Linked DNA regions of Rattus norvegicus. The protein of the gene in region 2 purifies or fractionates together with the protein of the main gene of each other region. This does not show direct contact. Links are inferred from orthologs where the notes say so. Each region holds a gene or a part of one and is shown on either strand. Other genes may lie near its edges.

Evidence for each region.
Region 1: the proteins of Ruvbl2 (region 2) and Wdcp purify together in Homo sapiens (affinity purification with mass spectrometry; 6 studies listed by BioGRID and IntAct, counting the BioPlex papers as one, with this or other methods). This does not show direct contact. The link is inferred for Rattus norvegicus from reciprocal best matches to the Homo sapiens genes RUVBL2 and WDCP.
Region 3: the proteins of Ruvbl2 (region 2) and Mrgbp purify together in Homo sapiens (co-immunoprecipitation; 5 studies listed by BioGRID and IntAct, counting the BioPlex papers as one, with this or other methods). This does not show direct contact. The link is inferred for Rattus norvegicus from reciprocal best matches to the Homo sapiens genes RUVBL2 and MRGBP.
Region 4: the proteins of Ruvbl2 (region 2) and Nopchap1 purify together in Homo sapiens (affinity purification with mass spectrometry; 4 studies listed by BioGRID and IntAct, with this or other methods). This does not show direct contact. The link is inferred for Rattus norvegicus from reciprocal best matches to the Homo sapiens genes RUVBL2 and NOPCHAP1.
Region 5: the proteins of Ruvbl2 (region 2) and Znhit2 purify together in Homo sapiens (affinity purification with mass spectrometry; 5 studies listed by BioGRID and IntAct, counting the BioPlex papers as one, with this or other methods). This does not show direct contact. The link is inferred for Rattus norvegicus from reciprocal best matches to the Homo sapiens genes RUVBL2 and ZNHIT2.
Region 6: the proteins of Ruvbl2 (region 2) and Eapp purify together in Homo sapiens (affinity purification with mass spectrometry; 3 studies listed by BioGRID and IntAct, with this or other methods). This does not show direct contact. The link is inferred for Rattus norvegicus from reciprocal best matches to the Homo sapiens genes RUVBL2 and EAPP.
Region 7: the proteins of Ruvbl2 (region 2) and Actl6a purify together in Homo sapiens (affinity purification with mass spectrometry; 11 studies listed by BioGRID and IntAct, with this or other methods). This does not show direct contact. The link is inferred for Rattus norvegicus from reciprocal best matches to the Homo sapiens genes RUVBL2 and ACTL6A.

Annotation. Positions count from the first base shown.
Region 1 is NC_086024.1:33,576,612-33,580,541, reverse strand, and holds part of Wdcp (WD repeat and coiled-coil-containing protein), read right to left. Parts: coding exon 2,124-3,930; intron 1-2,123.
Region 2 is NC_086019.1:105,041,365-105,045,294, reverse strand, and holds part of Ruvbl2 (ruvB-like 2), read left to right. Parts: intron 1-3,361; coding exon 3,362-3,468; intron 3,469-3,544; coding exon 3,545-3,638; intron 3,639-3,778; coding exon 3,779-3,902; intron 3,903-3,930. UniProt on the Homo sapiens protein: Possesses single-stranded DNA-stimulated ATPase and ATP-dependent DNA helicase (5' to 3') activity; hexamerization is thought to be critical for ATP hydrolysis and adjacent subunits in the ring-like structure contribute to the ATPase activity.
Region 3 is NC_086021.1:188,073,017-188,077,670, reverse strand, and holds the start of Mrgbp (MRG/MORF4L-binding protein), read right to left. Parts: upstream 2,917-4,654; 5' UTR 2,891-2,916; coding exon 2,743-2,890; intron 2,326-2,742; coding exon 2,204-2,325; intron 1,360-2,203; coding exon 1,278-1,359; coding exon of another isoform or gene 969-1,277; coding exon 894-968; coding exon of another isoform or gene 673-893; exon of another isoform or gene 510-672; coding exon 322-509; 3' UTR 1-321.
Region 4 is NC_086025.1:22,244,067-22,248,603, forward strand, and holds the start of Nopchap1 (NOP protein chaperone 1), read right to left. Parts: upstream 3,085-4,537; 5' UTR 3,071-3,084; coding exon 2,956-3,070; intron 1,705-2,955; coding exon 1,618-1,704; intron 1-1,617. UniProt on the Homo sapiens protein: Client-loading PAQosome/R2TP complex cofactor that selects NOP58 to promote box C/D small nucleolar ribonucleoprotein (snoRNP) assembly. Acts as a bridge between NOP58 and the R2TP complex via RUVBL1:RUVBL2.
Region 5 is NC_086019.1:212,781,980-212,785,613, reverse strand, and holds Znhit2 (zinc finger HIT domain-containing protein 2), read right to left. Parts: upstream 2,031-3,634; 5' UTR 2,001-2,030; coding exon 798-2,000; 3' UTR 749-797; downstream 1-748. Other genes in the region: delta(14)-sterol reductase TM7SF2, read left to right, coding at 114-274. UniProt on the Homo sapiens protein: May act as a bridging factor mediating the interaction between the R2TP/Prefoldin-like (R2TP/PFDL) complex and U5 small nuclear ribonucleoprotein (U5 snRNP).
Region 6 is NC_086024.1:77,915,314-77,919,243, forward strand, and holds part of Eapp (E2F-associated phosphoprotein), read right to left. Parts: intron 1,785-3,930; coding exon 1,673-1,784; intron 1,666-1,672; exon of another isoform or gene 1-1,665. UniProt on the Homo sapiens protein: May play an important role in the fine-tuning of both major E2F1 activities, the regulation of the cell-cycle and the induction of apoptosis. Promotes S-phase entry, and inhibits p14(ARP) expression.
Region 7 is NC_086020.1:117,430,645-117,434,338, reverse strand, and holds part of Actl6a (actin-like protein 6A), read right to left. Parts: intron 3,591-3,694; coding exon 3,529-3,590; intron 3,309-3,528; coding exon 3,194-3,308; intron 3,066-3,193; coding exon 2,985-3,065; intron 743-2,984; coding exon 647-742; intron 1-646.

The DNA.
Region 1 (3,930 bases), on a different chromosome or scaffold from region 2:
GCACATGCGTCTGTATACCCGTGTGCACTAGTACCAGAAGACGTCAGAAGACAGCCTGGAACCAAACTCTGGTCATCTAGGATAGCAATACATGTCCTTCTGTTGGTCTGTCCTCCCTTCCTCCTCTCTCTCCTTCTCTCTCTCTCTTTCTCTCTCTCTCTCCTTCCCTTCCTCCCTCCCTCCCTTCCTTCCTTTCTTCCTTGGGATTTCTTTTCTTTTCTTTTTTGAGAGAGGATTTCGCTATGTAGGCCTAACTGGCCTAGAACTCACTATGTAGACCAGACCAGCCTCTAACTCACAGATATCCTCCTGCCTCTGCCTCTCAAGTGCTGGAATTAAAGGAATCTGCCACTATGCCCAGCCTAGTTCATGTTCTTAACAGCCACCTCTCCAGCTCCTAATAACTTTTTAAACACAAGTAGAAAATGGAATTAAATGGGCGATTCTCCTCAAATGGTAGAGGTTGGTTTAGTGCACACAAGACTGAGTTGGTCCCCAGCACGGCATAAAACCAGGTCTTGGGGTGCACACCTATAACCACAGCACTTCAGGGTGAAGGCAGAAGGATAAGAAGCTCAGGGTCTTAGTCTGGGGAGATGGTTTAGGCAGAAGTGTACCTGCCACAAAAGCAGTAGAGTCAGAGTTAAATGGAAAAACAGAGAAGAAAAGCAGGGTAGGTGCTGGCCAGAGTGGAGACCAGTGACCTGGAACTCACTGGCCATTCAGTGAGAGCCAGGTTCAGTGAGAAACCTGGTCAAGCGGAAACCTTCCCTCCAGACACAATGTGCACACACACACACACACACACACACACGACTCCCATGAACACACACACATACACATTGAACAAGTTCAATGGCATCCTTGAGAGGCTAGCCTAAGCTACAAAAATAAACAAAAAATATTGTAGAAGTACACTCTTTGAATTTGCACTTCTCCTCTTGAAACCAATCCAACAAAAATAAATAAAGGCACTACATCAAGTGAATAAATACACTCTTTCAGCACCATCTGAGGTACCCAACTGAAAATGAGGCTGCGTAAATATGCATGCTCACCCTGAGGTACAGTGCACCCCATGACTCCACTGTGGCAAGCAGTGACAGCACACTACACACACACACACACACACACACACACACACACACACACACTTTACGTGTTACACAAGGATCTGTGTTAGAGTTTATGTGTATGGAGGCAAACGTGGGAGGAGCCACATGGCTGCTAGTTGAAAAGTGAACATGACAGAACAGAGCCAGACACAATGTGAAAAGAAGTGTCCATGATTAAAAAAAAAAAAAAATATGTGGAGAGGTGGCTCAGTGGTTAAGAGCACTGACTGCTCTTCCAGAGGTCCCGAGTTCAATTCCCAGCAACCACATGCTGGCTCACAACCATCTGTAATGGGATCTGGCGCCCTCTTCTGGTGTGTCTGAAGACAGCTACAGTGTATTCATATATAATAAATAAATAAACCTTTAAAAAAGTGTGATGTACTTACATCTGCACATATAAGGATGCATTCAAAACATATTTTATGTGTGCATTGGTGTTTTGCCTGCATGTATGTCTGTGTGTCTGTGTGAGAATATCAGATCTTGCAAATATAGACTGTTGTGAGCTGCCATGTGGGCGCTGGGAATTGAACCCCAGTCCTCTGAAAGAGCAGTCAGTCCTCTTAACAGCTGAGCCATCTCTCCTGCCTTAAAACATTTTAAGGCTTACAACCATCTGAAATGGGAATCTTCTGCTGTGTTAGTAGACAGCTACAGTGTACTCATATACATAAAATAAATAAATCTTTAAAAACATTTTAAATGATAACACACACACACAGTTTTTGAAATGAATAGACACAATTAACCCTATTTTCTCCCTAAATATAAGTCAACGGAGTGTAGTCATTGATTTCCACACCAAGGATATGATAAAATCTCGCTAAACCCTGGTGTGAGCACTTTTGGTAGGCTAATGCCCATCTAATTGTGCAAAGGAATTGTCAGACGCAGGTCACTGAGCTCCACTCAAAGCCCTCCCCGCCCTCCCCTGAGTGTTTCTGGCAGGACAGACAGGATGCAAGAGCTTCCTGCATAGTGAAAGTTCCTCAAAAGAGATGTTACCTGGTAAATGAGGTGAACATAGGGAGGGTCGTGAGAAGGTGGGTACGCGGGAGAGACTCGCTTCTCCTTGTGTAGAAAATCCTTGATTTCAAAAAGATACTGCTGCATTCCAACCAGGTGCCTAGACAGACTCCCCAGCTCTCTGGAAAGTGGGCAAGTTTCCTTTTGTAAGTTCTCCGTTGCAGGTGAATTCACTTCTGGGGTGCTGGTGTGATCTGGGGTCCTGCTGGGTCTAGGCAATGCTGTGCAAAGCCAGGAGGGCCTGTGACAGACTTCATGGACAATGGAATCACTGGACAGAGGGGACAAGGGACTTTTAATTTCTTGAATAAGGGCTTTTCCAGACCTCCCACTCTGAGTACTGGAGTTAGCTGTTAGCAAGAGTCCTTGGCTCAGGGGACTCACGCATGGGGAAAGGCTCTCGGTGAACTTTTCTTCTCTATCTGCTTTATTTAATAGAGCATTGATATCAGCATAAGCACCCTGACTTTCAGCAGATGTTCCAGAAGATTCTCTTCCCAGAGTTATTTCTCTAACTGTCAGATAAACAGTATACTGATCAGATTCTGAAGAAGGGAGAAAGGCTGTTTCTGTGGGCTTCTGTTTCCCTACAGTAATTAATAATAATCTGTCTGTCAAGAAACATACACCTTTTGGTCTTTCGTTACTCTCTAACTGAATTTGCTGAATATTTGGCATAGAAGATGGAGCGACAGAATAGATCAAAATTACGTTGCACGTATTGGAAGCCACAGCCACTAGCTGTGCTGTCAGGGTAAATGCTATTATGTCAGGAACCAGAATGCCTGGAATAGCGACCTTTTTTGTCATGGTCACTGCTTTCTTAAAGGTTACCAGGATCAAATGTGAAGAATCTTGGCCAGTTCCAGTCAAGTAGTCCTTTTTTCTTAAACAAATAAGAGACCTCTGCTCGGCTCCAGATCGGTTGAAATGTATGTGAGTCAGATCCAGAGGAACTGACAAGGGAGAAACTGCTGCTCCAGAATTCATTTCTGCAGCGGCTTCCTGCTCATCTACAGGGGGCGTTTCACTCACACCCACAGGATGAGGATGTACAGCACCATCTTCACCATTCGGGGGGCCGCCAAAGGCGTCGGATGCATTTAAGCTACAAAGCTTATGGAGTGGAAGTTCGGTGGCCACAGCGACCTGTGAGTTCCCCGTGGCTGTGATGGTGCGGATGCAACAGTGCACAGGAAACACTGGGCAGAAGGAGCAGCTATGAAGAGACTTCTGAGAACTGTCCCAAATGTAAGAATGGAGGCTGCTGTCTACTGCCACCACCAGCCTCTGGCCATCCAGGGTCCAACAAGCACAGTAAACGCGGCCCCTGGTGTTGATGTCCACTTTTACCCTGGGACCGCCATCTTGGTGGACGTTAGGGAAAATGGAGACATCCCGTGCAGTCAACACGGTCAGGACAGGGTCTTTTGGGTGCCACATGCAGCCCTGAGGAAGGATAGGGAGTGACTCTCTGATCTCAGAGGTCTGACACATCTGCCATTTGCTTGATCCTATAGTGCTGGGACACAGCTGCCAAACCGAGACAAGCTTTCTGTGCTGGACCGCAAGCAGAGAGGGCACGTGCACTGTGCTGACAGGGGCCCAGGAAACCCCGCAGACAGATTCAAAACTTCCAATGACTTGGGAGTCCCCGAACTTGGCCTCTCCGCTATGAAGCTGTAAATCAGTCAGGACTACCCGATTCCCGTCGGTCCACGCCAGGCCCTGGGTTGGATGTACTGCTTGATTCAGTGAGTTCAGTCCTGTCCTGGGCAGTTTTCCG
Region 2 (3,930 bases):
TAATGGAGATTTTCTTATGAAATGAGAAGCGAGGAAACAAGTGTATGGGCTGATGAGTTACCGTGGACACCTGGATCCAAACTCCCTTCTTCCAGAACTCTTCTGAGGCCCTCCCGAGTGAGCTGCCTCTCAAATTTCCCACTTCCGGTGTCAGCCAGTCATGTCTGTCAGGTACTTGGGGGTTTTTTCTGCCTGGTCATGGGGAGTTTCTGTTTCTTTTTTACTGTGCTGGGTTAAACCTAAGGCCCACTGTATGTTAAGCAAGCTGCCCAGTTGTTTTGTTTCGTCTGAGGTTCAGCCCCAGAGCCCAGTGATGGAAGAAAAGAATTAACCCCTCACTAGGTGGCCCTTGACCTATATTTGTGCACGTACCCATGTATGTAAATAAAAATGTTCTTTATTTATAGAATAGATAGCCTAGTAGGTTTGTCTCATCCTGTTTTACAGTTGGTCTGAAATCTCATCTCTGAGAACTGAGGTGAGATTGCACCAGGCTGATGCATTGAAACTAGAGGCTCTGGGAGCCTCTTATAGGAGTTGCTGGGGTGGGATCTGGGGCCTGCAGGAGCCATGTGAGCCCTCCACAGCCAAGCTCTTTTTTTTTTTTTTTTTAAAGATTTATTTATTTATTTAATATGAGTACACTGTAACTGTCCTCAGACACACCAGAAGAGGGGCATCTGACCCCATTACAGATGGTTGTGAGCCACCATGTGGTTGCTGGGATTTGAACTCAGGACCTCTGGAATAGCAGTCAGTGCTCTTAACCACTGAGCCATCTCTCCAGCCCCTAAAATAAATAAATCTTTTTTTAAAAGACTTATTTCATGTATATGAGTACACTGTCACTGTCTTCATGCACACACAAGAAAAGGGGATCAGATCTCCATTACAGATGGTTGTGAGCCATCATGTGGTTGCTGGGAGTTGAACTCAGGACTTCTGGAAGAGCAGTCAGTGCTCTTAACTGCTGAGCCATCTCTCCAGCCCCAAAATAAAGAAATCTTAAAAAAAATAATAATAATTTTGTGTTGCAGCTGCGCTTGGTGGGACACGCCTTTTAAGACCAGCACTTGGGAGTCAGAGGCAGGTAGATCTCCCAGTTTGAGGACAGCCTGGTCTACAAAGGAAATTCTAGGACAGCCAAAACTACACAAAGAAACTTTGTCTTGTATAAAACAAAAACCAAACCCCACCTGTATGTGGTGTCTGAGGAAGGGTCTGCCTCCTGAGTGCTGGGATTAAAGGAGGGAGCCGCCAAACCCAGCCTGGTGTGCACGTGTATGTTGTATGGGAACTGGTTGACACGGGCAGAGACTAGATGTTGGGTTTCCTGCTTTGTCACAGGGTTTTATATCTTTGAGACAGGGTCTCTTTCTGAACCTGGAGCTAGGCTGGCAGCCAGACTTTCCAGTGATCCTTTCTTCATCCCCAACTGCTGGGCTTAACAGGCCTGCCTGCATGTGGCTGTGCCTGGTGGTGGTAGTGGTGATAGTGATGATGGGACACCAGTGCTGCCATCCAAATTTAGGTCCTCATGCTTGCACAGTGAGTGCTCTTCTCTGCTGAGCCATCTCTAGTCCTCACCAGGATTTCCTTCCTTCCTTCCTTCCTTCCTTCCTTCCTTCCTTCCTTCCTTCCTTTTTTTTCCTTTCTTTTTTTCTTTTTTTTTTAGGATACAGCATCTCATGTAGTCTAGACAGGCTTTGACCTTGTTGTATAACTAAGGATGGCTTTGAATTTCTGTGCCCCACCTCTTGAGGGCCTTGCCTTGCCCAGTTTGTGTGGTGCTAGGAAGGATCCCAGGGTCTTGTGTGTGATAGGCAAGCTGCTACCCACTCCCTCTTTCCTAACCCTGTTGTGTTTGAGTTGAATCTCACAGCCCGGTTGCCTTCAGTGTCCTGAGTTCTGGAATTACAGGTGTGGACCAGTACTCAATTTGTTTGTGTTTTGAGATCATCTTTTTTTTTTTTCTTTTTTTAAAATAGGCCACTCATACTGGCTGGTGGTCCTCCACCTCCCACTTCTTAGTGCTCAGATAATAGGATTTACAACCACAACCAGTTTATTTTTTGTTGTTAATGGAACTGGATTTAGCCTAGGCATGCAGCTGCCCAGTGACTTTAATAGTTGAAAATAAAGTTCTAAATTAGTTCAATCTATTAGTAACTCAATTTCAGATTTTATAAATATGGTAAGAATATTGTGGGTAAATCTTTTCCCAAGAAATGTCTATAAGATGTGCGCGTGTGTGAATTTTTTCTTTAGAGGCTCAGTGGTTAAGAGCCTGTGCTGCTCTTCAGAGGACCCAGGCTCACTGCCACCTGTAACAATATTTCCAGGGTTCCAGTACCTTCCTCTGCCTTTTGTGGGTACCTGTGCTCACATGCACAGAGCCACATACAGCCACTCATACGTGCTTGAAGTTAAAAAGAATAAAAATATTAAGATATATATGTGGGGTTGGGGATTTAGCTCAGTGGTAGAGCGCTTGCCTAGGAAGCGCAAGGCCCTGGGTTCGGTCCCCAGCTCCGAAAAAAAGAGGAAAAAAAAAAAAGATATATATGTACAGATAACCCCAGCTGCCCTTTAATTCCTCCTTTTACCCTGACTCCTACTGGGACTGAGAGGAGAAAATCATTTGGGAGAGGATCCAGAAACAGAAAACTGACTTCTGGAGTGTTCCTGAGTATATCAAGAGTGCTTACATTGGGAGAGGGATGTGTGGGCTTTGTTTGCATTTAATTAATGTTTTATAAAAGGTTATTTTCATTTGTTTTTGCATTTGCTTAGTGTGTATAGAGGTCAGAGGACAAATTATGGGAGTGGGTTCTTTTACTGTGTGGGTCCCAAAATCATTAGGATTGGTTTCAAGTGCTATACCCATTTGGACGGCCCAATTTAATTGTCTTTTTATTTACTGCTTTAATTTTTGTAATTAACAAAAACGTTATTTTTCTACGGGGGCGCAGATACTCAGGAGGCAGAGTGAGGCAGTCTCTGGACCACCCTGGGTAATAAAGTGAGGCTTTGTGAGGATGCACAGTCAGTGGTAGAGGGCCAGCTTGCCTAGAATTGACATGAGAGAGCGGGGTGTGCCTTGGAGGTACAGTGCTGGGCCCAGGGTTCTAGAAAAGAACAAAACCAAAATGCCTTTCCTTTGGATGTGAAGAGCTGTCTTGTGGGCTTATGGTGACACAGCAGCCCACACACGTTAGGAGGGTGCAGCCTAAGTGCTGGCACCCGAGTAACCACCTCCCAATGCCATCCCCTTCATGAGCTGCCTGGGCCACACCAATTTTGAAGCTATGGCCACAAAGGGGTGATGTCCTCTGAACATTTACTGGTGTGTCACCCTCAGGGATCCAAGGTGGGCAAACTGACTCTCAAGACCACGGAGATGGAGACCATCTACGATCTGGGTACCAAGATGATCGAGTCCCTGACCAAGGACAAGGTCCAGGCCGGGTGAGCCACGGGACCACAAAGAGGCTGGGCAGTGAGGGGAGTGGAACCCTCTTACTCTTTGCTGTTGCTCCTTCAGGGACGTGATCACCATCGACAAGGCCACTGGCAAGATTTCCAAGCTGGGCCGCTCTTTCACACGTGCCCGAGACTATGATGCCATGGGCTCCCAGGTGCTTGGCTCATCCCCAACCCAGCACTGGAGTGTTTCTCCATCTTCTGTTATGTCATGGGGTTGGATGCTGGGTTACCTCCCAGTGTGGGGCTCCAGGCTGTGTCCTGGCTGCCCTCACACCTGCCGTTGACCCTGTAGACCAAGTTTGTGCAGTGCCCAGACGGAGAGCTGCAAAAACGCAAGGAGGTGGTGCACACCGTGTCCCTCCATGAGATTGACGTCATCAACTCCCGCACTCAGGGCTTCTTGGCTCTCTTCTCAGGTCAGCTGCCCTTCCCCCAACACCTTGA
Region 3 (4,654 bases), on a different chromosome or scaffold from region 2:
GAGGATGCCTGGCTCCTGAGGACAGTGAGGGTGACGTCTTATTGCTTGCTGACTCTTGGTCCTCTGGCCCACGCACCTGCTCTTCTCCACACACTGTGGGCATAAGGGAACTGACCAGGAGAAAGCAAGAGGCTGGCTCAGAGGCTTCACCATCCAGCAGAGTGGACACCGGTCTTGCTGGCCTTTTGGACCAATCAAGTGCTCTGGAGGTCTGATGACACAGCGGAAGCCCCACTAGCATCTCTGCTGGATGGCCACATTCACCCAGGGACCTGAGGACAGGCAGCTGGAGCATCTCTTGGCCACCTGGGGCTGAGGTGTCTATGTGCGGCGCCTCTTGGCAGCACTGGGGCTGGAGGGATTGCTGTTGGCAGTCAGGACCTTGTCAGTGACCCGGCTGCGCTTCCGCTTGTCTGCCCCTTCTTTGCACCCCAAGTCTGAGGAGTTCTTCTCTTTGTCTTTGCTGGATTTTTCTAATGCTTTCCCCAAGCTCCCTGAAGATGAAAAAACTGGGAAACAAAATCATTTGGCTGAAAACAGAATATCCAGAAACTCATCTCATTTTCCTCTTCAGCTAGAGAAACCAGGCGTTCGGACCCAGTATGTTCCCCGGGTAAGTGCCCTGTACAGCTGGGCTCGAAGAGAAACCGAGTCTCTCAGGGGGTCTCCTGTCTAAGCCCACCCAATGCCCCCAGCCTTGGCCTCGGCCCCTTCCTCATGGCTCTCAGAGGCCCCCAGCCTTGGCCTCGGCCCCTTCCTCATGGCTCTCAGAGGCCCTCCCACACTGAGTTCATCTGAAAGGGATGCTTCGCTCCTGACTCTCAGCTTCCTGACCTCACTCTGCCTGAGGCTGGCCCGTGGTGGTGACGGCTCCAGAAGGCACTTCCACTCACCGTCATCAGCCCCACTGTGGGGGTCCACATCCTCCTTCATCTCCTCCTTCATTTCTTCTTCAATGACCACTTTTCCTGTGGAGGAGACAGCTGCCGTTCACTGGAAACCCACGGTGGTGGCCAGCGCTGGGGGACGGTCTGGCCAGGACTGCTTCCGACTCTCGCTGCCCACACAGGCCTCGGCGTCCATCGTAAGACGGCATCCATCAGGAGACTGCCTTTGAGCACCGCTCGCCCCAGCCCTCGGCTCCCCAAACCTCCCAGGCGCCACTGGAGGCGTGGTCTGAGCAGGGTCCTTACACCTCCCTGGAGGCCCCAGACCTCCCCACCTTTGGCCTGGTGAGGCTTTTTTTATTCCCAGCCCTGGTGGTGGCTGAGTCTCACCTTCTCGGACTTCCTGAATGATCTCATCGGGAAGGACAAAGTTCCTCTCTGGATTTGGGAATGGCAGAATCTCAGACTCGTGCTGCCGGCACAAAGCGTTTTGTATTTTCAAGAAACAGAAAACAGGGTCTCCGCTCACTAAGCTGTACGGAGGAGCAGGCTGGAGGCTGCGAGCTGGTGGGGCTCCTTGCTCCAGCTTGCAGAGTCCACCTCAGCTGGGCTTCTCAGATGACTAGGGAGGGCCAGGCTAGCACCAGCCAAACCAAACCAGAGGAGAGGACCAGGTTCATGCCACCGAGAGAGCCCTGGAGTCATAGCAGCTCCCCTGATGTGCTCACAAGGACCTGACCTGTTCACCATTGTAACACTCCCACCAGGACAATGTATCCAGGGGCGCCATGACCAACCACAGGCCCCTACAGCCCCACCCATCCTGGTTACGTAGTCTCACTGCCTGCCAGACACTGCAGACAAACCTGACTAGCAAGGTTACTAGTTACCTACACACGAGTCAGACACTGCCAGCTCTCCAAACCAGTTACCTAGCTACCCTCTCTGCTCTCAGAAGAGGAACAGTCTAGCTCCCACAGTATACAGATTCTCAAAGGACCCCAATACCGACACTGCACCCTATTACTGCCTTTTACGGTGGCTGAGGCTTCTCTATCATCTCAGCGCCCAACTATCTCCTTGACACTTTGTGCCACCAATCTAAAGTAGGTGTCCTGAGAAAGTGGTTAGTGAATCCCTAGTTTGTGCTTTTCAAGGCAGGATTGAGGAAGGAGCCTCATCTTTTGAGATCTTTGCATACCAAACCCCAAGTGAGAAGAGGGCTCTGTCCTGTACCACAGAGGACTCTGGGAAGGCAGCATCCGGGACTTGACTCCACCTTCAGCCCCCAAATGAGTGGGCCAGGGTCCACTCACCAGTGCCTGCATGTCGTACATAGTGCTCAAATGGTCCCAGATCACCTTGGATGGAACCTGGCGCCCAATATTCTGGCTGAACTTGTCTCGGATACAAATCATGTGGAAGTGTCGATTCACCCCTGAGAGGCAGGACAGTGGGTTGAGGGTTAGGATAGCACCTCTGTGCAGAGGACATGGGTGTAGGAGGGGCAGGAGTGTGCAAACCACAGGTGCAAGTGTTGCAGGAGTCAAGTGTCAAAGGGGACGAAGGGTGCCACAAGGCAGGTGGTTAGGGTGTATAGTAGGCGGGTCCTGGGCAGAGGGGCTGCAGAGGCGGGGAGAATGGAGGCGTTCCCTGGGGTAGGACTGTCTCAAGGGCAGGGAAGTCAGGAGTGTCCCCTGGGAGAGGGCTTCTCGGGAAGGAAAGTCATGGTCTCTTGGACTAACAGGGCACCCCAGAGTGGGAGGTCCCGCCCGTGCGGGGTCGCAGGCTCCGCCAGCCCGCCCGACGGTTTATCCCGCCCCACCCCCACGCCGGTGCGCGGCGCGGCGCTCACCGACAGGCTTGTGGCCCAGCATGGCGTGGAAGAGGCACACTTCCACTTCAGGGCTCCACACCACCGTCTCCTCAGCAGGGCTCGGGGCTGCCTCGCCTGGGCCCTTATCGCCTGGGGCGCCCGTGCCGCCTACCTCGGCCTCCCCCATGGCCGCCGGCGAGCGACGAGCGCCCGGCGCGAGAAAGGCTACTACAGGCTCCGCGCAGGCGCACTTGGTGTGGAGGGCGCGCACTCGCAGGGCTCGGGAACGCCGCGTGCCCGGGTCCGCGCAGGCGCAACGAAGGCTGGCTTCCGGTGCAGCAGCGACTCCTGGTGGTTGGCCCTTTTACTGCCTACGACTCTGTCCCGAGAGGAGCAGGAACAAACCTCATGCTTTAAAAATGCACCAGCTGGGCCTTCAGAGAGGGAGAGGCGAGCGGATCTCTCTGAGTTCTGAGTCAGCCAATTCGGCATAGCATGACACACACGGCCCAAAAAAAATCTGGGCTTCACCTGAGTAGATAACTTGGAAAAGACTCAGGCTGCACAGCTAGAAGTGTGTCTCCCTTTGCCAGTGATAAATTGTGCAGTATGTAAATTACACATCACGAAAACTGTTTAAGAAAAAATAGCTAAAAAACAACAAACAAACAAACAAAAAACCCAGGGGCTAGTGAGATGGTCCGTCCATAGAGATTCTTGTGCACAGACTTGGTAACTGGAGCTCCACCCCTGGATCCTAGAGGGGGCAGGAGAGAAGCAATTCTTAAGAGTTCTACTCTAGGGCTGGAGAGATGGCTTGGCAGAATGATAACTGCTCTTTCAGAGGTCCTGAGTTCAATTCCCCGCAACCACATGGTGGCTCACGACCATCTAGACCATCTATAATGGAATCTGATGCCCTCTTCTGGTGTGTCTGAAGATAGCTACAGTGTATTCATATAAATAAGTTTTTTTTTAAGTTGTATCTAACCTTTATATGTATACCATGGTATACTCACACTTTTGCACGCATGCGCGCGCGCGCGCGCACGCACGCGCACACACACACACACACACACACACACACACACCATAATTAAAGACTTTAAAACCCAACAACCACATTTAGTAGCCCTGGCCTGGGTGCAAATGACAGTTTCAGAATTAAGTGCTTCATTGGCATCAAAAGACAGAAACCTGGGCCCTGTTGGCCTTACCACCCCCATCTTGTCCCTACAGTGGAGGCTGTCAGAATTTCAGGCAGGTGTTAGTATCTCTACATGGGATTGGGTAGGGTCAAGTGCTAGGCACAGCAGCCTTAAGAACATGGTCCCTACTGGTCTGAGTCACCCCAGTCAGCTGTACCATGACCCCTACCCTGCCACCCATCCAAGCTTTTTTACTCACCTGACCCTCAGCCACGGGCAGGCATCAGAATCCCTTTCCTGACTGATGTCTCTCAGCTGTGTGACTAAGATGTCAAGAACCTTTGTAAGACCACGTTCTTCTCTGTGCTATGGGGCCACTGTAGCTCTGAACTCTGGGGTATTGATAAGAGCCATCTGCTGGCTACCGCAAGCTTTGAATCCAGTCCTGGCCCTCCACTTGCCCCTCACTCAGGCCTGCAACCAGATAATGCTCACAACAGGGGACTGTGGAGGGTTTCCCTTGTGTAACCCTCAGCCTCATCCATTCTAGCCAGTTCTCTCTGTTCTGTGTGACCTCTGTACACGGCAGTTTGCAAACATCTGTCCGTCATTTCAGAGATCTCTTGGGAACGTGTGGCTGGCAATCAGACTTGATCCCTATGGACAGGTTAGATGGTATAGGAGAGAAGAATGGCTTCATTCTTTCCACGAAGCCACAGCCCGTTTCTCTGCCAGGTAATAGGAAGTGTCTGAGCACGGAGGTCAGGAGCTAAGACTCTGCTCACTATCTCATGCCAACTGTA
Region 4 (4,537 bases), on a different chromosome or scaffold from region 2:
TTCTCTATGTTCATACCTTGGGCTGGCTCCCGAGTCCTGCAGAGGACCATGCCTGTCCTCCCTTTGAAGCTTGGGTCACTAATGTTCCTCATCCTGAACAGGCCTATGTTTCTGCAGTCTTGCCTATCACAATCTGCCCTGTGGTGTAATCTGACGTGATGTCCTAGCCAAGCCAAGCCAAGCCAGTAATCAGTCAACTTGAGAGCTGAGGAGAATACCACTGAGAGGATGTTCACCTGGAACCTCCAATAAAGCAGCTGATTGCCACAGCTGTAAAGCAGCACCTTCAGGTTAGTCTAACACCGAGAGAGCAGAGCAGAGACCGGCAGCACATGGAGAAAATGAGCATTGGGATCCAGATACAACTTTTAGTTTCTAACTCTGGTTTCTCTTAAAGCAATCAGAGCTTTTGCTCTTAGGCAATTCAGAGTTCTAACTAATGCATTCAATCTCACCACCATGCTGGTACCAGCCAGAATCTGAGAGAACCTCAACTGAGGAAATGCCTCTGCAAGACCCGGCTGTAGGACATTTAATTAATTACTGATTGATGGGAAGGGAGGGCCTGGCCTATTGAGGGTGATGCCATCCCTGGGCTGGTGCTCTTGGGTTCTACAGGCAAGCAGGCTGAGCAAGCCAGTAAGCAGCACCCCCCATGGCCTCTGCATCAGCTCCTGCCGCCAGGTTCCTGCCCTGCTGAGTTCCTGTTCTGACTTCCTTCAGTAATACAGTGACGTGTAAGTGTAGGCCGAATAAACCACCCCCCACCCCAAATTTGCCTTGGTCTTTGGTGTTTTATCACAGCAAAACAAACCCTAACTAGGACAGAAATGGGTACTGCAGTCATGGGGTACTGCTGTGGCAGAGACCCGACTGTGCTTTTAAGATTGTAGAAGAACTTTGGGCTGGGCCATTCTGTAGAGAGCTTGGAGGAGAAGAATGTTGAGAGCAATGCAGATGGAGGTCTGGCTTGTGACATTTCAGAGGTCAGTTTGAGAGTCCTTTAATGCTTCCCAGAGTATTAAGAGTTATGGGTTCATGAAGCCACACAGCTCAAGTGGGTTCCAAGGATTTGAACCCTGGTCCTCATGTTTGCTCAACAAGCACCTGTTCTGAGCAATCTCCTGGAGTAAATACCTGCCAGGTGTGGTGGCACACACCTTTAACCCACTTCTTGGGAGGGGGAGGCAGAGTTCCAGGCCAGCCAGGGGTAAGAGACTTGTCAGAGGGGAGGAAAAAAACAGACTTGGCATGGCAGCACGTAACTCATTCTAGAATTGGGTGAGGTAGGAGAATCTGGAGTTCAGGGTCCTTCTCAGCTACACAGTGAAGCCTGAGGCCAACCTGGACTACATGAGACCCTGTCTCAAAAGGGGGAAAAAAAAAGATCTTAAGTAACTAGCTGGACCTTTTGAAGTTTCAAAAATACCTTTCATTCAGAAAAAAATTGAAGGGAGGTGATGAACATGAAAAATTCTATTCCTCAGAAAATGGTTTACACAATGTATTTGACTCTCTGGTTTAGTATGAGCCATGAAGACAGGCTATCCCATCACAAAATGGATTAACTAGCCTTAATCAGGGGAGTGTCCTCTAGAGTAGAAAGGAGGTACTTACAAGGGCTCCTTTGTACCCGAACTGTTTGAAGGGTAGAGGCCTTTCTGGAATGAGGCTTAGAGTTGATAAGCAGCTGGTCCCAGACACCTGAAACCACACACAATTAACGGCATAAAACAGCCCTGAGCCACAAGTGCAACTCAGAAATGATAGATTAACAGTGAGAGAGGGGCCATCAGCACAGCCCTTAGGACTACCTACAGTCTGGACCATTCCACACACTGACAGAGAAGGAGCAAACACCCCTGTCTATATATACATCCATCTCTCCTCTCTCTGGCCATCTCTCACCCACCTGTAGTACTCAAATACACACTGGATTCTATCTTCTGAGTTAACAAAAGAGGTTGGGGGGCTGGGCATGGTGGGGCACTCAAAAGGCAGACAAGTGATCTCTGGAGCTCTAGGGCAGCCAGGACTACACAATAGAACTGTCAAGCACTAATTGCCCTTGCAGAGGCCAGGGTTTGAGACCACGCACCCACGTGGGGACTCATACTGGACTGTAACTCCAGTTACAAAAGATCACTTTCTGACCTCGTAAGACACCAGGGATGCACAATCCACAACTTTAAACAACAGAATTAGCAAAACTTAGTCTTCAAGTTTAAAGTTAGAAATGCTTTAATTTCAGCACTCAGAGGCAGAGGCAGGCCAGCCTGGTCTAACAGAGCAAGTTTCAGAACCAGGACAACACAGATTGGTTTTTTTTGAGAATTGTTTTTTTGAAACAGGGTCTCACTACATTATACTTGTGGCTGTTCTAGAACGTCCTATGTGGACCAGACTGGTCTCGAACTCAAGAAATCCCACTGCCACTGCCTCCCAAGTGCTGGAATTAATGAGATGTGACACTAGCGGAAATGCTGAGTGGATTTCCCCGCACACAGGTCTCCCTCCGCCAAGGCCACACTAAGGAGTTTGTACCCAAATCAAAAAATAATAAAAATGGTATTGTCTGCTCTTTACCTTCCAAGCCGGTCCAGACCAGGTAGTCCTTGTAGAGTTCATGAAGAACCTCCCAGGTCCGGACTGGCCTAGTTGTACCCACCACGACTGGCCCGGTCATCCCTGACACCGGCAGAGTCCCCGCCCCCTTAGCGTCCGGGACTCCGCGGCATCCCCGACCCCCGCAGCGTCTCGGGCCTCCTGGTGTCCCCGGTCCTCGCAGAGACCCGACCCCTTGCAGTCTTGGGCGCCTTAGTGTCCCTGAACCCCGCGGCGTCCCTGGTCCCGGGAGCGTTCCCAACCTCCCGCAGCGTTCCAGGTCCTGCAGCGTCTTCGACCCCGCAGCGTCCCCGGTCCCGCCAGCCCACCCCGCTCTTCGCCGCCGCTCACCTCGCGAACCCTCGCTCCCCGCCGTCAGTAGCTCCCTGGACACCGTGATCCGCGAGCAGTCCACAGAAGACGAAGAAACCCCAGGACCACTCGCGTGCTCACCACGGAGCGCCATGCTTCTCAGGCACTGGGAGTGGAAAAGCCCGGATATAGAAAGGCACGGGGAAGGGGCGGGGTCAAGGCGGCAATTGACGGAAACTCGGAGGTGGGCGGTGACTTAGGAGGGTGGGGCGGTGCGTGGCGGGAGCTCCTGCCTGCAGCTGAAGCCTCCAGCCCACGGGGACCGGAAGCGGGGGCGGGCCCCAGGCGGGGGGCGGGGACACCACACTGCCTGGGCGGACCGCTAGGATTGCACGTGTCCGAGTCCAGCCAAAAGGTCTCCTTCCTTACTACTAGTAAGCGTCAGCCCAGCTAGGTTAAGCTAAGCAAACGCAAGCGTGAAGGTGATACGAGGCCTTTGTCGTTATTCTATTTTTGTTTTTGTTTGGGGAGGTTTCTGTGGCCCTGACTTTGTGGCAATCCTGCCATAATTTGTAACTTACAAACGCCAAATTATAGGTGGGAGCCACCACACCCAGCTTCTTTAAAAAAATTTTTTTTTGTTTAACCGGCTGGCCCAAGTTGGCCTCAAATTCACAATTTTGCCAGTTTCAGTTTCCTTGCACTTAAATCTACAGGCACCCGTTTACTATGCTTGCCTTAGTTTGTTGCTTGTTGAAGTCTCACCGAGTTATTCTTCTTGGCCTAGTACTCAAAAGTCCTCCTGGCTCTTTCTAGCCTCCTAAATAGCTTGAATTTAAGGTCTGGATGAGCAGACCGAGCTTAGTTCACTATTCAATGGTAAACACAAAACCCAGCAGTATCATAAATGCTGTTTATATTGCTATATATACAACAAGCCTTTGGAACATTGTCATGTCAAAATGAAAATTGTTCCTGGTGGTAGCTAAGTGGTGAAGTTGTGAAGGGAGCCCTAAGTTTGGTCTCCAGCATCAAAACAAACCCTTAATTTTTTTAAAAAGCTGAAATAAAACCATTGAATGATAAATCCCATTCCTCCTCTCTCCCTGGCCCTGGGACCCAGTGCTCATGGTTTTGCTGGGAACAAGGAAAAGAAACATTTGTAAGCACTACCATTTCATTTTCAGACTCCATTTAAATCATAAGGAGAAACAAAATTCAAGGCCCCACGCACTAGGGGAGCTGGGGACTTCCCTACAGCTGAAGAGCTTTTGTCTTAAGCAGGTGTCTGAGTTTAGACTTCTCGGGAACAACTTGTAAGGAGACAGCTGTCTTGAGTCCAGCCATCTCAAGAGTCCTCCATCTTGCTGAGAGGGTCAAACAGATTCGTGTACTCAGGCCTAGGAACGCACACCTATCCCAAATCTACATGTTTTCTTAATTGTCAGTTAACTGGTAAAGAATATAAAAAATGCTGTCACCTAGACCAAGGTAGTTAAGTTGTGAAAATATACATAACCAATTGCCTGTTGTGTGCTTGTTAATGACATACAGCTGACCTGCACCTTTGTCAGGCTGTCACTCTGAGCTCCGCACCTAAAGTCTAGGAGAAGGAATTAAG
Region 5 (3,634 bases), about 110 Mb from region 2:
CTGGAGTGGACCCAGGGCCTAGGAAGCCTGACACCCCATGTGCCATCAGCTGTGAAAGCCTTTATAAACCGGTGCTCATCGTGATGGCTGACCATGCAGCCCCTTCCTTACAGGGCTGTCCCACCTGCTGCCCTACTTCTACCTGCTCTACTTCACTGCACTGCTGGTGCACCGCGAGGCCCGAGATGAGCAGCAGTGCCTGCGAAAGTATGGCCGTGCCTGGCAGGAATACTGCAAGCGCGTGCCTTACCGAATCATACCGTATGTCTACTGAAGCAGAACCAGTTCTACTCGGCAGGGATGCTCAGCACGTTGAAAACAAGAACGTTGAAAGCAAGAGGGAGCCACTGCTCCCAGAAGGAAATTTTTCCCTGTTGAATAAATGTTTTCAACCTTTGCTGTTTTTCTTCTATCCTGGGGTCAGTGACTTGAGGCTTGGGGATGACTAGCTGACTAATGAAAGCTTAAAAGTGGTTTGTGGGTCCAAAAGCCTGAGTGAGACAATTGGTTACCCTCAGAAAGGGGCACTTCAGGCCTGGGGATGTAGTTCAGTTATAGAGTGCCTGTGTAGCACACAGGAAGCCTTTGCTATCCAGCACTGCATATCCGCAAGGTAGCTAACACCTGTAACCTCCCACTGTCGGGGTGGGAAGCAGATCAGAAGTTCAAGGTCATCTTCAACTATACAGTAACTTCAAAAGAAGCTTACGACAGGGCACCATCTATAAAGAAAGGCACTGCCAACATTTGGGCAGAGCAGACACATCTTTATTAATGTAATGACATGGATGCCCAGCTCAGCCAGGAAGCTCCTCAATGAGAATCCTTGGTGCAGGTGGTACTGGGCCTCCCCAAAGCCGTTCTAGCTCCCCAGTAAGGGTTGCCATCTCCTCAACTGTCACAGCATGGGCTCGGTGGGCTCTGGCACAGTCTAGAGCCAGGGGTGTGAGAGCAGCCTCGTTTTCATTGGTCCAAGCCAGCAGGAACTGGCACTTCTTCCGAGCCCGGTAAAGGCGATCTCGCTCTTCACCAACCACAGCCTGTTTCCGGGCTCGACCCAGGGTCTGAGCCAGGTGCCCCAATGCTATCAGCGTGTAGCCTTTCTGATTGATAGGACCCTCGCCCAGAAGGATTCGGGCAACTTCCTGCATAGCACCCCGTGTACCCAGGGGCCCAGGTGGGTGCTCGCCCGCTTCCAGAACGTGGGCTGCGGCCTGCAGGGCTTCCTCTGTAGAGTGAAAGACTTGCTGGGTTCCCAGGGCCCCAGAAACATCGAGCAGAGTAGCACAGAAGTCAGAGAGTAGCGCGTCGTCGTCCCCTCCATGATATAGGGCGAGAGTGTGAGCATAGGCGAACAGCACATTGGGCAGCTGGAAGCGCACCAGTGGCGAGGTAGGGCTGCGGCTCAGACTGGCCAGTGCTGGGATGCGGGCAGGCATTGCGGGCGGTCTGGCGACACTGGAGTCTTCAGCAAGTGGCTCCCCAGCGGCAGCGGCATCATCCACGGACTCCAACCCGGTCCTCGCAGGGAGTAGCTCCGGCTCCGCAAGATCTCTACTCGCGTCATCATCCAGCTCCTCCAGAAAACGTGGGCCGGTGCCGCGGCCCCACCACCAGGGCCGCCACGGAGGCAGGAGGCGTCCGGCTTCGCCACGGCTCAGTAGCCGCTCGAATGCCGCCTTCTCAGCCGGCGCTAAACGTTCCCAAAGTCCAGAAAGACCGCCCGGCCGCGTGCCGGGCCGGAGGCCTGTTTCCTCGGGCTCATCCTCGGCCTCGCGTTGTTCACGCAGCCGGCGTAATGCGCCCGCCAGACGACTGGGCGAAGCGTTTCGGCCGCGGAGCTCTCTTAGCACTTGGTCGCGGTAAAAGTCTTCGGCGCAGGCGCCGTGAGCCCGGTAGCAGCGGAGCGAGCAGTAGGGAGCGTTGCAGCGAGGGCAGGTGTAGCGCGCTGGTACCGCTTCCCCGGCCGGGCAGAAGCCGCAGAGCCCCGCGGGCTCCATGGAAACTGGTGCCGCTTGTCCTGTACCAGTTCCGCCACTTCCGGCGCTTCTTTGGTTATTTCCGCTTTTGTGTGCGTGGAGGGCGGGGGAAGCTTCCTTTCGGCACATTTCTGGGACTTCTCAGTAACTCTCCAGAGTAGCTCGTTGGGCAAGCGTAGAAGTCGCCCAAGCTCTTCCCAACACGTTGGCTCGCCGAATTCTGAAAAACTGTGTCGCTAATCCCAGTTTGTTCTTTGTGGTTGTACCAAATTGTGCAAAAATAAACTATCTTTTAAATAACAAAACCAAGCACCACCACCAAACAAAAAACACCAGGGTCTTAGCAGGGCGTAGCTGTTCTCACCTTTAATTCCAGCACCGGGTTGTCAAAGGTAGGCTGATTTCTGTGAGTTCATGTGCATCCCAGGATAGTCAGAGCTACATAGTGATGCCCTATCTTGGAAACAAACAAACAAGGCCAGCAAAATATTACTAACAACAACAGACAAAAATAAATGAATAGGGGGCTGGAGAGATAGCTTGGTGGTTAAGATACACTGACTGCGGGGTTGGGGATTTAGCTCAGTGGTAGAGCGCTTGCCTAGGAAGCGCAAAGCCCTGGGTTCGGTCCCCAGCTCCGAAACAAAGAACAAAAAAACAAACAAACAAACAAAAAAACACTGACTGCTCTTCCAGAGGTCCTGAGTTCAATTCCCACATGGTGAGCAAACCACATGGTGGCTCACAGCCATCTGTAATGGGATCTGATGCCCTCTTCTGGTGCGTCTGAAGACTACAGAGTACTCATATACATAAAATAAATTTAAAAAAATAAATAAACCAGGCATTTTTAACAAATCTGGAGCTCAAAATACATAACAGGCAAGCATATCAAATTAAGGCCAGCCTGGGCCTACCTGAGACCCTGTCTCAAATAACAAAAGCACAGCAAAGCAATACAAATAGGGAAAACATCCCTCCGACGGTATTGAAATTGTTTGCATTGTTAAATATTATGAGGCCTATTGAGAGGTAGGCCTTAGTGGATTATCTGGAGGGTATGCCTGTGACGGAAATACTGTATTAGTGTCCAGTCATACTGGAAAATGGACCAACACAAACCAGAAAGCTATCTGGCAAAGCCTGTAGAATCTGTACCTTCAATGACCACTTGTCACATTGTCAAATTTCTGTAGTTCAGATCAGCTCTCCTTTTCAGTCTCATTAATCACATCTCTTAGACGTCTGTAACCTTCTAAGGATTTCTTTGCTTTTTTTTTTTTTTTTTTTTTTTTGCTTCCTGAGACAAGGTCTGAAGCTCAGGCTGCCCTCAAACTACCTGTATAGCAGGGGATGCTTTTGAATTTATCTTCCTGCCTCCACCTCTCCAGTACTGGAATGACAGGAGGCACACACTAAGCTTTTTCTAGGGACATTCTTCTGAAAACAATGCCAATTCCCCACCCCAGTACAGCACCACACTTAACTATTTTTTTTTTTATTGGATATTTTTAAGTTTCAAATGTTATCCTCTTTTCCGGTATTTTAAGTTAAAAGTTCCTGTCTATCCCTGGCTGTTCTGGAACTCACTCTGTAGACCAGATTGTCCTCAAACTCAGAGGCCTCCCTGCCTGGGATTGAGTGCTGGGATTCAA
Region 6 (3,930 bases), on a different chromosome or scaffold from region 2:
ACCACAAGCTTCCACCACACTCCTCCTAGGTTTGTAACAAAAGCAGAAGTGGGGGCTCAAGCCAGTACGTGCACATCAGTGTTGACAACACTATTCCTGACAGTCAAAAGGCAGACAGAACAAACTTCTCCTGGTGGACACACATACGATGACATTGTGCAGCCATAAGAAGAAGTACTGTGCTACAGTGTGGACAAACTCAGAAGCATTTTGTTCTTGGGCCTGCAAGGTGACACGAGTCGTTAACCCCAGTACTTGGGATTACAAAACAAGAGCAAAGAACCACTTGGGAGGCAGAGGTGGACGGATCTCTGCATATTCAAAGCCAGCCTGGTCAGCAGAGTTCTAGGATAGCTAAAAATAAAATTAACAATTTAGATACTAAAACCCTAAACTCAAAATGATTTAAAACTATAAAATAAACATAGTAGTGTACAGTCATAATTCCAGCACTTGGGAGGCTGAGGCAGAATAGCCCTGGGACTTCAAGGTCAGTCTAGGAGAAACCTTATCCCAACAAACAAACAAAAAAACTTTAAAAAAAAGTTTAGCGTATCTATTTGGAAAAAGTTAATTTTCAAAGACCAATAAAACCAACCAACCAACTACTGAAACTTTAGTTTTATAACAGTCCCTGCTTCCCAGGTGGCTGAGGTAGGAGGACTACAAATTCCAGGTCCACTGGGCTACAGAGTAATCAAACCTTGTTTTAAAAAGCAACATGAGGGTTAAGGATGCACCTCAGTGACATCGCTTGCCCAGCATACTCAAGAGCCTAAATTCAATCTTAGTACCAGAGAGTAGGGGCAAGAGGAAAGGCCAGGCATGATGGCACAGCACACACCTACAATCCCAGCACTTAGGTTGAGGCAGGGCTGCTGTAAGTTAGCCAAGGCAGCATACATAAGGAGAACATAACAAGACCCTGTCTCACAAGAACAATAAAAACGTTCTTTTATTTCTTAAATGAAGAAACTCTTAACAGTTTAGACTCATTAATAACGCAACAATTAATTGCTGTGGTGACACACCTGAAACTTCAGACAGCATTTGGAAAGTAGAGGCAAGAGTTTAAGGCCAGCCCCAAGAACATATTAAGGTTTGAAGCCAGTCTGGGTTACACGATAATCTTTTTAAAAACAAATAAAAATTCAGCCAGGTGGTGGTGGCGCACACCTTTGATCCCAGCACTAAAGAGGCAGAGGGAGTTCAAGGCCAGCCCGGTCTATAGAGCAAATTCCAGGACAGCCACGACTACATAGAGAGATCTTGTCTCAAAAACAGAGAGACAGATAAAAACTGTTTAACTAAAATTTGCTGGTTATTTTCATATAAAATATTCAAGGTTTTTTTTTTTAATTTTTAAAAAAGATTTATTTTATATGAGTACACTGTAGCTGTCTTCAGACACACCAGAAGAGGGCATTAGATCCCATTACAGATGGTTGTGAGCCACCATGTGGCTGCTGGGAATTGAACTCAGGACTTCTGGAAGAGCAGCCAGTGCTCTTAACCACTGAACTATCTCTCCAGCCCAAGTATTCAAGTTTCAATCCTCGAACTTTTTTGATGTATTTGTATGAAAACAAAGACACATACAGTCAAACAGGAAAGCAATGAAAAATAACTCTGGCTTTCTCTAAAGATTCTAAATATAGACTTAAATTCTTACCCCCTCCTCTTTGCATCTACCCAGGCCTGGTCTCTGCTATCTTTCTCGGGATCATAGAGCAGCTCATCGTTTGTTGGAATCCTGTGTTGTTTCTTCTTCTTCTTCTTGGTCACTTGTGTTAGTTAGAAAGGTTAAGAACATGGATCAGTATCATGTCTAAAGTTTACACTTCTTAATATCAAATGACTCTCCTGTTTCCCATACTATCTATTTATTCTATTATATTATGTTTTTAAAAGTTGCCTAAATGGGAGGGAGTTACCGGAAGGGGGTCAGTGAGCAGGATATAAAGTAAGTAAAAAATTAAACTAAAAATAAGAAAAGAAAAAGATGCCTAAAGCCTTTCTTTAGCAGTCTCAACACTTGGAAAGTTGAAGCGGGAGAACTGCCATGCCTGGGTTACGCAGTGCATTCCGGATACCCTGACAACAAAAGTAAAACCCTATCCCCAAAACAATGCATAAAATTAAATAAAGCTATTCTTCCAATAAGAGTCTTGTCCGGGGTTGGGGATTTAGCTCAGTGGTAGAGCGCTTGCCTAGCAAGCGCAAGGCCCTGGGTTCAGTCCCCAGCTCCGAAAAAAAAAAAAAAAAAGAAAAAAAAAGAAGAGTTGTCCAATTAAGACACTAAAACAGGGCTGGAGAGATGGCTCAGCGGTTAAGAGCACCCGACTGCTCTTCCAGAAGTCATGAGTTCAATTCCCAGCAACCACATGGTGGCTCACAACCATCTGTAAAGAGATCTGGTGCCCTCTTCTGGTGTATCTGAAGGCAGCTACAGTGTACTTATATATAATAAATGAATAAATCTTAAAAAAAAAAAAAAAGACACTAAAACAAAAGATAAAGGAGGCCAAAAAGCTAAGTTCAAATAATAAAAAACAAAACCCACTTAAAACCAACTGGGCATGCTGACACATGTCTACAATCCCAGTGCCTGAGATAGAGGAAGTTGAATCATGAGTTCAAGGTCATCCTTGGCTACATACAAAGTTTGAGACCAGCTTAGCTTGTATGAGACCCTGTCAAGAACAAAAGGGAGGGGGTTGGGGATTTAGCTCAGTGGTAGAGCGCTTGCCTAGGAAGCGCAAGGCCCTGGGTTCGGTCCCCAGCTCCAAAAAAAAAAGAACAAAAAAAAAAAAAAAAAAAAAAAAAAAGAACAAAAGGGAGGAAGGTGAGACTGCTCGAAAGTCTAACAATCTGAGTTCAGTCCCTGGGACTCACGTGGTGGCAGGAGAGAAATGACTCTCACAAGTTGTCTTCTACAGCCGTATGTGACTTGTAAAATGAGCTCTCATAAATACACACATATACAGAATAATTTTTGATTAAGAAAAAAAAAAACAATGCTAAGAATGTGATTTGGGTCTTGTGTAGGCAGAGCTGGCCTCAACTCGCTAGGTAGCCTAGGATAATTCTATGCTTCTGATACCCCAGCCTTCACCTCCCAAGTGCTTGAATTACAGGTGCATCCACACTGGGATCACATCTGGGGCTTTGTGTACACCATGCAAGCAATTCTGTAAACTGAGCTCCATCCTTAGTCCTATGAATTACTTTCCGCATAGAAGATCACCACAAGTTCTCAAACATAAATCATTACTAAACCAGACAATGGCAGCTCACATCTGTAATCCTAACATTTGCAAAGCAGAAGCATGAGAACTGCCATGAATGTGAGGCCAGATGTGCTGCACAGTAAGTTTCCAGTCAGACAGGGCTATACTCCAAGACCATCTCTCAAATAAATACTAAAATCAGAACAAAATAATATTTAAAAACCAATGGTAATTCTTTTAAGGTTTATTTTATATATATGAGTGTATGTTAAGTACACTGTATAAATGCCTAGTGCCTGCTGAAGCCAAAACAGGGACCCAGGTCCTCTGGAACTGGAGTTATATACGGATAGCTGTAGGGGCAAGGTGAGCTCTAGAAGTGGAGTTATATATGGATAGCTGTAGGGGCAAGGTGAGTTCTGGAACTGAACCAGGACCCTCTGCAACAATAGCAGGTGCCCTTATCCTCTGGGCACAACCTGTGGTTGTGACCCCTTCGGAGGTTGAAGGACACTTTCACAGGGGTTGCCAATGGCCATCAGAAAACACAGATATTTACATTACAATTCACAACAGTAGCAAAATTAGTCATGAAGTAACAACAAAAATAAATTTTACCATTGGGGATTGCCACACATGAGGATTAAAACGTCGGGGTTGGGGATTTGGCTCAGTGGTAGAGCACTTGCCTAGCAAGCGC
Region 7 (3,694 bases), on a different chromosome or scaffold from region 2:
GGCACTACCCTAGGTGCTTCATTTTCATTTAAAGTCTCCCTCCCACCACCCTACCCTCAGAGGTCCCACTACCAACTCTTCCCAATCAAAATGCCAGAGCACAAGTGACTTTTGGTTCATACTGCCTGCCATCCAAATTCCTATTTCTGCTTAGCAAGGTGGCTCATGTCTGCATCCCCAGTGCCCAGGCTGAAGGGGCCAGAATGCTGAGTAAAGCAACCTGGCCTACAATGCCACAGTAACACATGCACACAATTAGCTATTAAATTCCACTAGGTAAGAATGGTGTGATGGTTTGTATAAGCTTGGCCCAGGGCGTGGCACTATTAGTAGGTGTGGCCTTGTTGGAGTAGGTGTGTCACTGTGTGTATGAGCTTTAAGACCCTCACCCTAGCTAGAAGCCAGTCTTCTCCTACGAGCCTTCAGATGAAGGTGTAGAACTCTCAGCTCCACCTGCACCATGCCTTCCTGGATGCTGCTATGCTCCTGTGATGATAATGGACTGAACCTCTGAACGTGTAAGCCAGCCCCAATTAAATGTTCTCCTTGTAAGAGTTGCCTTCGTCATGGTGTCTGTTCGCAGCAGTAAAACCCTGCCTAAGACAAATAGACACAACTAAATAACACAAAGAACAGAAAAACTTACCGGCGGAGTTTTCTGAGAAAGCTCTCTATTTAACCTATCCGTGAAACTCTGTATTAAGGTGTTTCCTCCTGCTACGATCACACTGCCATAGAGACCCTAGGAGAGAAAGAGAACCATTTTCAGATGTTTCCAACGACTGTGGAGTACTGTCAGGTGCTGGAGCCACCTACCAACCTCACCGTTCTTCATTGATCTATGTGTGTGTGTAAGCACGCCACCGTTCACGTGGACATTAGAAGACACTGCTGGGAGGTGACTCTTTTTCCAGCATGTGGATTCTGGAAATCAAACTCAGGTTGTCAGGCTTTGGTGGCAACCTCCTTTATGTACTGAGCCATCTTAGAGCAAATGATGTAAAACAATTATTCTTAAGCTCATAATTCTTATTGGCAGACAGCTGCTAATATTAGAGGTACATTTTATAATGGTATTTGTCTTTGTTCATCTGAAAGTCATGGTATTTTAAATTAGACAAAATTGTTTTATGATCATGACAGATAATGATACTCTTTTGAAACATGCCTGACCAAAATGCTTTCTCTTTTGTAGAAATGTTGCAACTCTTTTAGAACACAGACTGAACTCCCAAATAAAAACAACTGCATACTCATAGGGAATGTATTTACTTCTACTTTGCATATATTTATCAAAATGTAAATGTCAGCCTGCCTTTTTAACTGGCTATGTTCTTAGTTTTAAAACCTACACCAAATATCTAGATCATCTAAATTTTAAAACAGAAAAATGCAAAAATTGGGTCCCATCTGCTAACAACATTAAATAAACAGAAAATGATCTCAATAGAAAGTTCCACTCTTGCAAATGTATTTAATTCTGTGTCCTTAAGGGACCGTGCACAAAAACCACCAACAGTTAGAGCAGAAAATTAGCTCAGTGCTACAAGTGCTCACTATGCACATTTGGACATGAGCTGGATCCCTGGAATCCATGTGAAGGTACAAAGACACTCAACCCCACAAAACACACACACAATTTGTGTGTGTGTGTGTGTGTGTGTGTGTGTGTGTGTGTGTGTGTGTGTATGTACGTATTTTTTAAATTCTAAACTATTACTTCCACTGTCCTGGAAGTGGTATAGGTTGCTAAGTCACTCAGAAGAAATTACTTTGTAGTCACTCAACAGCCTTTTCTAAGTATGGCGTTTATACACTCATATCTACTCACATCATACTTTAAGCAAATTAACTTGAAAACCAAGATAGTATGTGGGTTCTGAAATAAATCTATAGCTTAATAAATTATTAATATAGATGAGTATATTATATAATCAAGTCAATATAGTATCAACAATTTAAAACTTGACATAGCAGAACAAATACAAAAATCATACAATCCATGCAGAAGTTGCACGCTTAGACCATACTTTTCTTCTTTTTTTTTTTTTGTAAAGATTTTATTTATTTATTATATATAAGTACACACTGTAGCTGTCTTCAGATACACCAGAAGAGGGCATCGGATCTCTTTACAGATGGTTGTGAGCCACCATGTGGTTGCTGGGAATTGAACTCATAACCTCTGGAAGAGCAGTCGGGTGCTCTTAACCGCTGAGCCATCTCTCCAGCCCCCTAGACCATACTTTTCTAAAAACTACAAGTAAAAGTCAAAAAAAGGGCTGGAGAGATGGCTCAGCGGTTAAGAGCACCTGACTGCTCTTCCAGAGGTCGTGAGTTCGATTCCCGGCAACCACATGGTGGCTCACAACCATCTGTAAAAGAGATCCGATGCCCTCTTCTAGTGTATCTGAAGACAGCTACAGTGTACTTATATATAATAAATAAATAAATCTTTAAAAAAAAAAGTCAAAAAAAATTCACCAATTTCTATGTATCTTGATTTACTATATTTTAGGAAATCTGGAGTAGCAATAACCAAAGAAATTTAGTGAGGGGAAAGTGTTCTAAGAGTCTGCTGTGTGCAGTCCAGCAGCCACAAATCACATTCACAGAAGAGTTAGTGCAATTCTGGACTGAGCTGACTGGTCAGTAGCACTGCAAATCAGTTTGTCCATCTCTTTCCACATGGTTAAAAACAGCCCTTAAAGCCACTGGCCAGGGGCTGGAGAGATGGCTCAGTGGTTAAGAGCACTGACTGCTCTTCCAAAGGTCCTGAGTTCTATTCCCAGCAACCACATGGTGGCTCACAACCATCTGTAATGGGGTACAGTACCCTCTTCTAGTGTGTCTGAAGACAGCTACAGTGTACTCATCTATAATAAATAAATTAAAAAAAAAAAAGCCACTGGCCAAAGTTGCAAACCTAATTTGGAGTACTTCATTGCTATAAGAGACAGTAACAAGTAGAGGTTGGCACTTACTGGTCTGATGTCAATGTCACACATTCCAACACTTGTTGTGACAACGTGACTGACTCCCAGCATTGTGTTCCCAGATAGTCCCTAGAACAAGAACAGCTGTTCATATGGAAATCCCCTACTGGCAAATTTAGTCTTATTTAGGCTTTTTATCCCATACATTCTCTACACGGAAAAAGCCACACCAATTCTGAAAGTAGCTTTCTTCACACCTTTACGTTGGAAGGGTCAAATAATCCTTCAGGAATTTTCAGCCGCTCTGCACCAAAATCGCAGTTGTAGCCATTAGGGAATTCATAGTGAACAGTGGGCATCTGTGCAGCCACTCTACAAATGTAAAGAGTATTTCACAGAAGGCAAAACGACTCTGTTCAAAATCACAATCCACTTATGAGGACCCACCAATCTCTGAGAACTACAAATACCTAAGAGCAGTATTCAGAATATACTAACATAGGATTCAGAATGCTAACACATTCTACAACCATTTAATATGTAATAAACAAAAGCCCTTATTTCTGAAGTACACAGTTAGACAAAAACATACTGTTCGTCATAGGTGGAGTCTGACACTTGAAGGACGGAAGCTTGAAAATCTTGGATGACGCACTGTGGACAGAGGGAAGGTAAGCATCGGGTTGAAATCTGCCTTTGTAATATGCACCGTACGTGACAGGCTACAGAATGACATCAGGCCACTTTCTCATGCTGAG